2 linked regions of the Drosophila melanogaster genome follow. The protein of the gene in region 2 interacts with the protein of the main gene of each other region in a biochemical or structural test. Each region holds a gene or a part of one and is shown on either strand. Other genes may lie near its edges.

Evidence for each region. Proteins that work in one complex are often made in the same cells at the same time.
Region 1: of the proteins of snk (region 2) and gd, one has a biochemical effect on the other in vitro, tested with the Drosophila melanogaster proteins (one study listed by BioGRID).

Annotation. Positions count from the first base shown.
Region 1 is NC_004354.4:11,985,015-11,989,658, forward strand, and holds gd (gastrulation-defective), read right to left. Parts: upstream 2,751-4,644; 5' UTR 2,673-2,750; coding exon 2,460-2,672; intron 2,417-2,459; coding exon 2,257-2,416; intron 2,193-2,256; coding exon 2,036-2,192; coding exon of another isoform or gene 2,018-2,035; intron 1,957-2,017; coding exon 1,405-1,956; intron 1,283-1,404; coding exon 769-1,282; 3' UTR 520-768; downstream 1-519. Other genes in the region: tsg (twisted gastrulation), read right to left, coding at 3,149-3,898. UniProt on the Drosophila melanogaster protein: Component of the extracellular signaling pathway that establishes the dorsal-ventral pathway of the embryo.
Region 2 is NT_033777.3:13,039,644-13,044,640, forward strand, and holds snk (snake), read right to left. Parts: upstream 3,128-4,997; 5' UTR 3,096-3,127; intron 3,001-3,095; coding exon of another isoform or gene 2,449-3,000; exon of another isoform or gene 2,407-2,448; intron 2,100-2,406; exon of another isoform or gene 2,099-2,099; 5' UTR 2,039-2,098; coding exon 1,960-2,038; intron 1,896-1,959; coding exon 1,515-1,895; intron 1,459-1,514; coding exon 1,197-1,458; intron 1,142-1,196; coding exon 556-1,141; 3' UTR 522-555; downstream 1-521. Other genes in the region: CG11668 (uncharacterized protein), read left to right, coding at 33-190, 254-427; CG11670 (uncharacterized protein), read left to right, coding at 2,449-3,000, 3,242-3,351, 3,608-4,025, 4,079-4,208, 4,278-4,363; CG45122 (uncharacterized protein), read left to right, coding at 4,563-4,754, 4,818-4,886. UniProt on the Drosophila melanogaster protein: Component of the extracellular signaling pathway that establishes the dorsal-ventral pathway of the embryo. A protease cascade involving ndl, gd, snk and ea results in activation of the spz Toll receptor ligand; acts downstream of ndl and gd.

The sequences.
Region 1 (4,644 bases), on a different chromosome or scaffold from region 2:
TGGGGATCTTCAACGATTGCGAATGTCCGTAGACGACGGGCCCAGAGCCCCAGGTGTGATGCACCAGCTGCCACGGTCCGGACGGAACTGATAGTCGATGGCTACGACTGCTGTCGATGCCCCAACAACCCAGCAAGATAGATAACGGCCCAGATGGCGATGACGACGATTGCGGCTGATGACGTGCGATGACGTGCTTGATAGTAGTCAGCATTTGCGCAGTACAGTGTCTGCCGCTGGTAATTAGGGTGTCCAGGTGTCCATGGGTGAACGCCGCTCAGACGGGCCAGGCCGCCCACTCCGGCATATTAGCAGCTTCCTTTGTTCACGAGCGCCAACAACACACTGATAACAAAGGCATGGTAAACGTTACTGTATTACAATTAATTTCGATATCAAACATACCTGTGATTCTTTCAACATACACGTTTTCTATATGTGGTCAGAGGAATTTAAACATTGCAAATTTCGAGATTTTTAATGTTAATATTATGGTGGAGATCTAAAAGCGCAGCGATTCTATGGGAAAATTCCTTTTTGGCTTTCCCGTGCCATAATTTATTATTTGAATTGCCCTACTGTCTTAGATAAAAATAAAACTGAAATGCCATAATCAGAAGTTTTCGTAATGAAACTAGCAAAAAAAAAAAAAGAAAAAACCGATAACCGCTAATTACTCCGAGTAACTTTTGCCCATCGCCATGCCCAAGGGGCTATTATCACAGCGCTCACTTAGAAATGCGTTCCCATACACATTTCGGATGTGATTCAAATTACAAAGGCCGTGATCCAGTCCAGAAACTTGGCCACGTCGGCATATATAATGTACTGATTCTTACAGCAAAGCTTATGGCTAGATTCCGCATCCGGTGTCTCTACGGCGGGCAGGGCCGCTGATACTGTGCCACGCAGCATCCAGCGATTGTTCCGGCGGATGAAAAGTCCGGCCCCCGATATACCGGTGTAAATGCTCGCCCCGCTCTGATGCGTATCTCGTTCCTCCGCCTGGATGCCGGCGCAAAACGTTCGGTTTGAGGATAGGCTGCGAAAGTGGGCATTGGCTCGAAAGCATTCGGCATTGCCGACAATGGGAGCCTTTACTACCTTGGGTGCACTGGCATCGGTGGACTTCTTGCCCGGTAGCTCCGACGACAGCTTCTGATCCCGCGTCCTGTTCGTTCTGTCAAAGCTCCAGCCGATGACGATGCCCCGCTCGCCCACAATGTACTCCGTTTTGCTGGAACCAGACCACAGGCAAGCGGGTCGAATAAAGGTGTTAAATCTGCGTTGAAAATAATGGTATACTGTCAATATAATAAATGATCTTCATATTCGATTTCACATCGCGGTTTAGATATGAATCTAAATCTTGAATATGTAAGCTTTAGGCATATTGGCACCCACCGAACTTCGTCCTTGAGTATAATCACTGCGATATCCGCATCGTAGCTGCTCAGCTGACTGTTAAAGTCGGGATGAATGTAAATGCCATCGACGGGGGCCGCCAGAGATCCCTCCTCGTTCCAGTTCTTCAGATTGTGGCGGCCCAGAAAGACGAGCACCTCGTTGGATGTGTAGCGCTTGTTGAACAACTTGAAGCAGTGCGCCGAGCTGATTACAACGCGTGCCGAGACAAGCGAACCGCCGCACTGAAAGTCCAGGGAGGTCAGGTTGTTCACATAGATGGCCGCTAGCCAAGGCCACGATCCCCTGGTGATCGATGGCAGGCTATCGGCGCTATCGCTTTCTATCGCTTCTGCTTCTGATTCGTCCACAAACTGATGCTCCAGGACATCGTCTTCATCGTCATCGACAAAAACTGGCGATGTGATGCCATCGGAGCTCTTTGGTTCACCGATTGCGACATGAAGTGATTCCGTTCTTTGGGACAAGTGAAAGTCCAGATCCCTGTCGATGCGTCCGCAAATCTCCTTGGGCGCCTGGGCAAAGGGTTTTCTACAAAAGCGGACATTAAGTAACGAATGAATGTCACGATCGTGTGTGTGTTTTAACCGACCAAAATCCGGATGCATACTTCTTGAACTGGATGTGCGGCGTACTGGGCGGCTTGTCGTCGGTTTTTCTCACCTCCTCCTCCTCGGGATCTAGCAGCAGGGAGCTCTTCTTATCCGGTATAAAGGACAACTTCCTAATGTGCTCCAACTGGATTTGGGTCATGAAGATGCTGTGCTCTGTGGTGCGGGCAAACAAGTCATGGATTAAATCGTTTGCTACCCAAGTTCCGTGGATACGCACCGCCGGATCCGAAGCAGATCACATGATTGTTGGCTGACATGAGGAGCAGTTTGGGCGGGAAGTGATGTTTGGGAAAGCGGATCTTATACAGCACCGGTGCATTGTGGGTAAACTTGCCGCGTGTGAGTAGCTCGATTTCGCCCAGATAGTTCTGTGTGTACTAAGGGGATTAGGTAACATCTGGATGACAATATACCACTTACCGTGGTGGGCTTGCCACGCATCGAGAGCGTAACTCGTATGTGGAGCGGCTGGTGGCCATCCGGACTGCGCACGGCCATCAGGCCGAACCATTCGCTGCCGTCGAAGCGGTACTGAAACACCTTGGGGCACGGACTGATCGGCATTCCCTGGGCGACTGCCTTGGTTACGTGCTCGATGCAGAGGATCAGGATCGCCGCCAGGTGCAGCCTCATCGCTAGTGTCTGGGAATGCCCGGGATGAAAATGCTTTTCACTCAAAACAAACGTAAACAATGCCGCAATTTCGATCGAAGCTTTAACAGTCCGGGAACACTGTGTGCATTTTATCCACCAACAGAGTTGCCAGACCAAGAAAGTAACCCCTGTTAATTAAAATGAGAGAGGGGAAATTGATCCTTTAAATTCTCAATTCCGTGCAAGTTCAAATTTCAAAAAACTTTACAAATTAATTATATCCCACAAATATGGATTCTACGAAACATTTACTGGATCCACTGTTAGAACTAAAAGGAATATTTTTATAATTTCCAAGTTTATTGTTGTCTTTTTTTTATAAAAACTTAAATTAGCAAATGCCTTGCTATTTTTACATGGGTATTTTACATGGGTATTTACAAAGAGATCGTTTGCTATGATGAGGTCCAAGCTCCAATTTGAAGAACCACATTTATTTGAAATTATCTGTGCTATTAGGAAAATTCATCCTCCTCGCCATAGCCCCACTCGTCCTCGATCTCCTCGTTGCCAAAGAATCGCTCCAGATCCTGTTCAGCCTCCGCCGGAACGGTATCGGCGGTAAGCAGTTGGTCCTGATCCTCCGGACAACCGCGGCAGCGACTCTCGTTGATTCCATAATTGAGGCAATTCTCGCCGACGCACTCGCAGCATCCGTCGTGGAACCATCGATAGCTACTGGCTCCCATGCTCTCGCACTGCTGCCGGCACTTGTTTGCCCGAATGCACGAGTTCACATAGATCACGGTGCATAGGGTGACACCTGCAGACCCGGCATTTCCATTTCCATTTCCGTTTCCGGCATCACCACTCGCGCCGCCCTGAACGCGCTGCTTGAAGCCGGCTCGCATGGAGAACCTTATGGTGGACCATCCCTCGTCATCCTCGGCGGTTAGGGTGTCGAACAGCTCGGGCACTCCTTCAATGTCTCCAATCTCCGAGCGCGGCGTCAGCGAGGGCAGGACATCCTTGTGCTTGGGACACATGTCGAGGCAGCCACAGCACTCGATGTACAGTTCGCCAAGGCAATTTAGACAGTCCTTGCAGCAGTGGCAGTCATTTAACTTGCACTGGCAGCTCTGGGTGATGAGGCACTTGGATACCACCGATCCGCAGACCACTTCGTTGCATCCATCATCGTTGGCCAAGGATGACCACGGTGCGATTCCAACGAAAAGGATGACGAAGTAGCACAGTAACTGCATTCTCGACGAGATCTCGCGGCCTTATGATACATTATCCACGATTGCGGCATGCCTTTATATGTTTTTTTAATATTAGTATCCAGATGGTCAGGTAGATGGCTCATCCTTACCACAATCCGCTAATCCTCGTGTCGCGAAAATCAGGTAGTGACCCTCAGCAGGCAGGCTGGTCATTTAAAACCATTTAGAGGTAACTTCTCCTATAAAATGTGCCAAAATAAGGGATGATCATCTCAAAATAGCCTTACTTTTAAGGCAGCTTCTAGGATTAAACACGCAAACATTACCTGTATTATTGACTAATACGAACCGTTATAAAATAAGCCAATTAGGTAACATAAATAAAGTCCATTGGTTGGCTAAAACAAAATGCAGATTCTTAATCCTAAATCTTAACCGCAAACAGGTATTATTGGCTCTAAGGACTTAACAGGTATAATTACAATTTGTTAAGTGTTTTGGCCAAAAATCGATATATTATGTTAAGGGAAGTCAGAAAAACGACATTTGGCAAAAATGCCATAATTTATAACTTGGCCAAAAATCATCACATGGCTAAAAGAAAAACAGTTTCGCTCAGATAATTACCAATGCTAAAGATCCATATCATTTTTAAGCGGATACTAAGAAATTAATTTTAAGATCAATTTTTGCATTTTCGTAAGGTATCAAAATGCGAAAAAAATTAAAAAAAAAAAATTTTCCTCAAATTATAACCCAAATCGATTGGAATTTAAATAACAAGC
Region 2 (4,997 bases):
ATTATAACTTAAATCATTGATTGATAAAACAGCTGGACCACACTCCAGTAATCTCCTGCAAATCATGCTTTACCACCTGAATTTCCAACAATGCCAGAGGTACTTGCACAACTATGACAAACTGGCCAATGGCCTGGGATCGGGTCAAATGTGCGCGGGAGACTACTCCGGCAATATGGACACATGCCAGGTGAGTCAAAAGTTTTTGAAATATTAAATGTTTTATTTGACTGGTGATCTTCGATTTCATCAGGGCGATTCTGGAGGACCCTTGTTGCTCCACCAACACATGCGCCATCATCGCCATACGATACCCTATGTGGTGGGTATAACGTCCTTTGGAGGAGCCTGTGCATCCGGTCAACCTGGAGTTTATGTGCGAATAGCGCACTACATTCAATGGATAGAACAACAAGTATGGCCTTGATTCTTTTGAGAAATTAAATGTGTTCTATGCAATTTCAACTTTTTAAAGATAAATTATTACATTTAAAACAATTGTTGAAAAAATTAAAAATTTTAAAAAGCATATTTAATAAATAAAATAAAATGAAACTAGTGCTGCTTGAAGGCAATCTTCTCAATCCAATCCAGGTAGCTATATAGCCTGGTGTAAACTCCTGGGGCATTGGGAGCCGCACAGAATTTTCCAAACGAGGTGATGCCCACCACGAAGGCCACGCAGTTGTATTCCGGCAGCAGGGCATGAATGGGACCGCCGGAGTCACCCTGGCAGGTGTCCCTGCCGCCTGGCAAATATCCCGCACAGAACTGCCCCTCGATGATTCCCCTGGGCAGACGTCGCTCCTTGCGATAGATCTGCTTGCAGGTCATTTGTGGGACTACGTCCAGGTCCACCTGGCGCAGGGCATTCGATTTGGCGCCCAGGAACTCGGTGCGTCCCCAACCGGCGGCCACCACAGTGGGTATCTGGAGCTCCGGCAGTTGCCACAGGCAAGCAGGACGCACCTGCTCCGAGAACTTGACCCTTCTGGTCAGCTTGAGCAGGGCAATATCGTGGTAATATGCCGAGGATCTGTACTTCGGATGCAGCACGATGATGAGGATCTTGATGTCCTGCTGGGTCGCGCTGGTCTCGTTCAACTGGCGGGCGCCCAAGCGAACCATGTCCGGTGGTTTGCTGATGGAGCAAGAAATACAGTTATAGTTGTGTCTTCGAGGATTCTGTCACTCACCTACCAGAGGTGGCACAGTGGGCAGCGGTCAGGACATACAGTTCGCTAACCAGGGCGCCTCCACAGCCCCATTTTATATCTTGATCCTTGGAGCCACTACCCTGCGTCCATCCTAAGGCAGCCATGTGAGGGAAGAGTCCGTGTCGAGTGGGGGTTCCACCGACTATCAGGGGAACACTGGGCACACACTGCTTCCCGGAGAATGTGCGTCCGGTGTCCGTCAAGTGAAGCCTTCTGGCGGCAGCATTGTACTCCTGACATTCTGGAAAGGATTATCTTTAGGATGTAAACTATTCCGATCCTTCGAAGTCTACCTACTGGTGGCACTTATGCGCTGAGCCAGCACATGCTTGTCCGCCAATGGACAACAGATGACAGGGACATTGTTGCGATGGGTGCAGATGTCGATGCGGGTGCCATGCACCCGATACTCTCGAATGACGTGGAGGCACTGATAGGCCAGGATGCAGTATCCACTCCGGCCATCGAAGCTCCGCCGGCAGAAGGCACCTTCGTGAAGTCCTTCCGAAACCGAAGTCCTAACCTCCGCATCGTCGCCGAACTTCAGATAGCTTTCCTCATCTTCGGTGTCCTGATCATCCACGTCCTCGCCAATGGTCGCCACTGGCTGCTCTTTCCAAACTTCGGGGATTGTGTACTTGGTGGTCTGGTAGTTGATTATTTCAAGGGCATCGAGAGCTGTGGGTTTAATTAATATAATATTAGAGGCACCATTAATATATACGATTGATTTACTACTTACCCTCAAGATTTGGAGTCTGCAGGATTAAATGCAAGCATGTCAATTGAAGATGCACGATTAGAGACCAAAGTATTATCATTCTATTTGTGAGTTCTGTGATTTCATTATTTACTTTCTTTCAAACATTTCATATAAGAAGCTGGCATAAATAATGAAAATAGATACTTTAGGGCTTTGTATATATTTTCCAGATTAAACTATAAATTAACCAATATACCCCAGAGGAATTCAGTTTTTCAGAAGACAATGGCCAAAGAATTTCGATTAGCTTCAATATTTGAGCCACCACTGTGCCCAAAACAAACCCTTGCCTGGCTTGGTTGATTTTTTGTTTAATGTATTTTTATTAATTAATGCGGGCGCTCAATTATAAATTCGGATGAATTTCAATAAAACCGTTTGCCAGCGACGCTGCGTTTCAATTCCGCGTAGTGTGGATTGGAAGATCCCAGTCGGATTAAATCGGTCAATCGAGCAAGACCTCTACAGATGGCGGATTGGAAGAGACCTTTGGAGACCTGCATCGCACTCTGTGTGCTCCTGTGCGTATTTCACGTGAACGGACAGTGGGAGTTTCCCGCCCAGTATCCGGAACCGTATCGAAATCCGAATCCGAATCCAGTGCCGGATCCAACCAGGTGGGACTTCAACAACTACAATAGCTACGGTTACAACGGTCAATGGGCGCCGGGCTACTTTAATAACTACGGCTATTATAGACCGCCGCCGCCACCACCTTCTCCGCCATGTGGAAGACCACCGCCTGGATCTCCGCCACCGGGCCCGCCTCCACCTGGTCCTCCACCTGGTTGCCCCGGAGGTCCAGGAGGTCCGCTGCAGCATCGGCAATGGGACAATGGCCCCAGGCAGTGGCAACCACGTCGTCCGCCACCAAATCACCATCGCAACTTCCACAACATCTTCCTGAACACCGAAAGCAAAGTGGACGGGGAGAACTACAACAAGACCGCGGAGACGGAGGACTTGCACGACGACTTCAATGGCCGATCCATTGTGGCACCTGGACAGTACCCGCACATGGTAAGTAATGAATAAATAAAGGTGCAGTCCAAAAAAAAAACAAAAATCGTAGATCAACGAAGGCCAATAAATAAATAAATAAAATCGCACGAAACCGGAATGGGGGAAACGCCAAAGTACCGCCGTTCGCAACACAAACACGACTAAATCTCCGATTGCCGAAATCCAAATCGAAGTCCACCATATCATATCAGTTAACAGTTAATTGGGTACGACTAATCCGCTCTTTAACCGATCTTAGGCCGCTCTGGGATTCCGGAACGAGAACCACGAGATCGACTACAAATGTGGTGGAAGCCTCATCAGCGAAGAGTTCGTGCTCACAGCTGCTCATTGCCTGACTACTCATGGGTGAGCTTTTTATGGATAACAACTTATAGAGAATTAGGCAGAGTATAGCTTTCTTATCTACATAAACTATCTTATGATACTCAAGAGTAAATACGAAGTCTCCTTAACTTACATATACCCCTTAAAATATCTAAATAACCCTTTGATAGGTATTAACTTTAATTTTTCATTTTAACAAGCAAGTATATTAGATATGATAATATAACAGATTATTAAGAACAGCTTTTGGACAATATCTGGATTATTTTCCTTATAGCACCTCGCCCGACATCGTAAAAATCGGAGACATTAAGCTCAAGGAATGGGAGCTCAACGTGGCGCCCCAAAGACGACGTGTTGCCCAGATCTATCTGCATCCACTGTACAATGCGAGTCTTAACTACCATGACATCGGGCTCATCCAGCTGAATCGACCGGTGGAATACACCTGGTTCGTGAGGCCAGTTCGCCTGTGGCCCATGAACGACATACCATACGGCAAGCTGCACACCATGGGCTATGGCTCGACGGGATTCGCCCAGCCGCAGACGAACATACTCACGGAACTGGATCTCTCGGTGGTGCCCATTGAGCAGTGTAACTCCAGTCTGCCAGCCGACGAAGGTTCTCCCCACGGATTACTCACAAGTCAGATATGCGCCCATGACTATGAGAAAAATCGCGATACTTGCCAGGTGAGGAACATAAGTTTTGGGTAAATTTTAGATATAATATTATTATTTTAAAGGGCGATTCTGGAGGACCGCTTCAACTGAACTTGGAACGTCGGCGTCGAAGGCACACAAGTCGTAAACACTATCGCTACTACCTGGTGGGCATCACATCGTATGGAGCATATTGTCGCAGTGAACTTCCAGGTAAATATATAAAAATATATTAAAATATATAAAATGTATAATACTTTTACAAATTCATTCATTTTACAGGTGTTTATACGCGTGTTTCATCCTATATCGATTGGATAGCATCCATAGTGTGGCCTAATTATTATAGCGAATTTACTAATCAATAAAAAGCAGTCTATAAAATGTCACAAACAAAAAGTTGTAAAAAAAAGAAAATTTTAATTTTAATTAAAGCATAGCAAAAAGTACTTTATCTAGGTCTTTTTTTGTATTGTTAGATTGATTGCATTTGTTGCTAGGCACCGCGGTGTGCTGAAATGGTTTATTTAATCAATAATTGCGTTTTGATATGCAAAAAAGTTAATAATGGTAGGGAAGAGCAAAAAGAAGCGTAATAGCAAGGATTCTACATCCAGTAATGCAGGAAGTGGCGAAGGCGAGGAGAAGAAGAAGAAAGAGGGCGGCAAGAAGAAAGGAGGCGTGGGAAAGTCCATTGGTTGCGACATTTTCAATGACGCCGCCATGGAAAACGCCTACTATGTCTGCCATAATGTTCAGGTAAGTCATTACTTAAAGTACATAATCTATTAAAAATAAAAAAAAATATGTAAATTATTTTAGGACGTTCTGAAGTCAAGAGGATTTGCTTGGCCGGATGGCCAAAAGAAGAAAAAGAAGGGAAAGCGCTAAGCGGCTAAATAAACCATTTAAATAAGTGAAATAATTTTAGTTATTTTTTATAAAAATATTCTTGCAATTAAGCTTATGGTATAAATGATAGTGTACTTCCCCCTTGGCCTG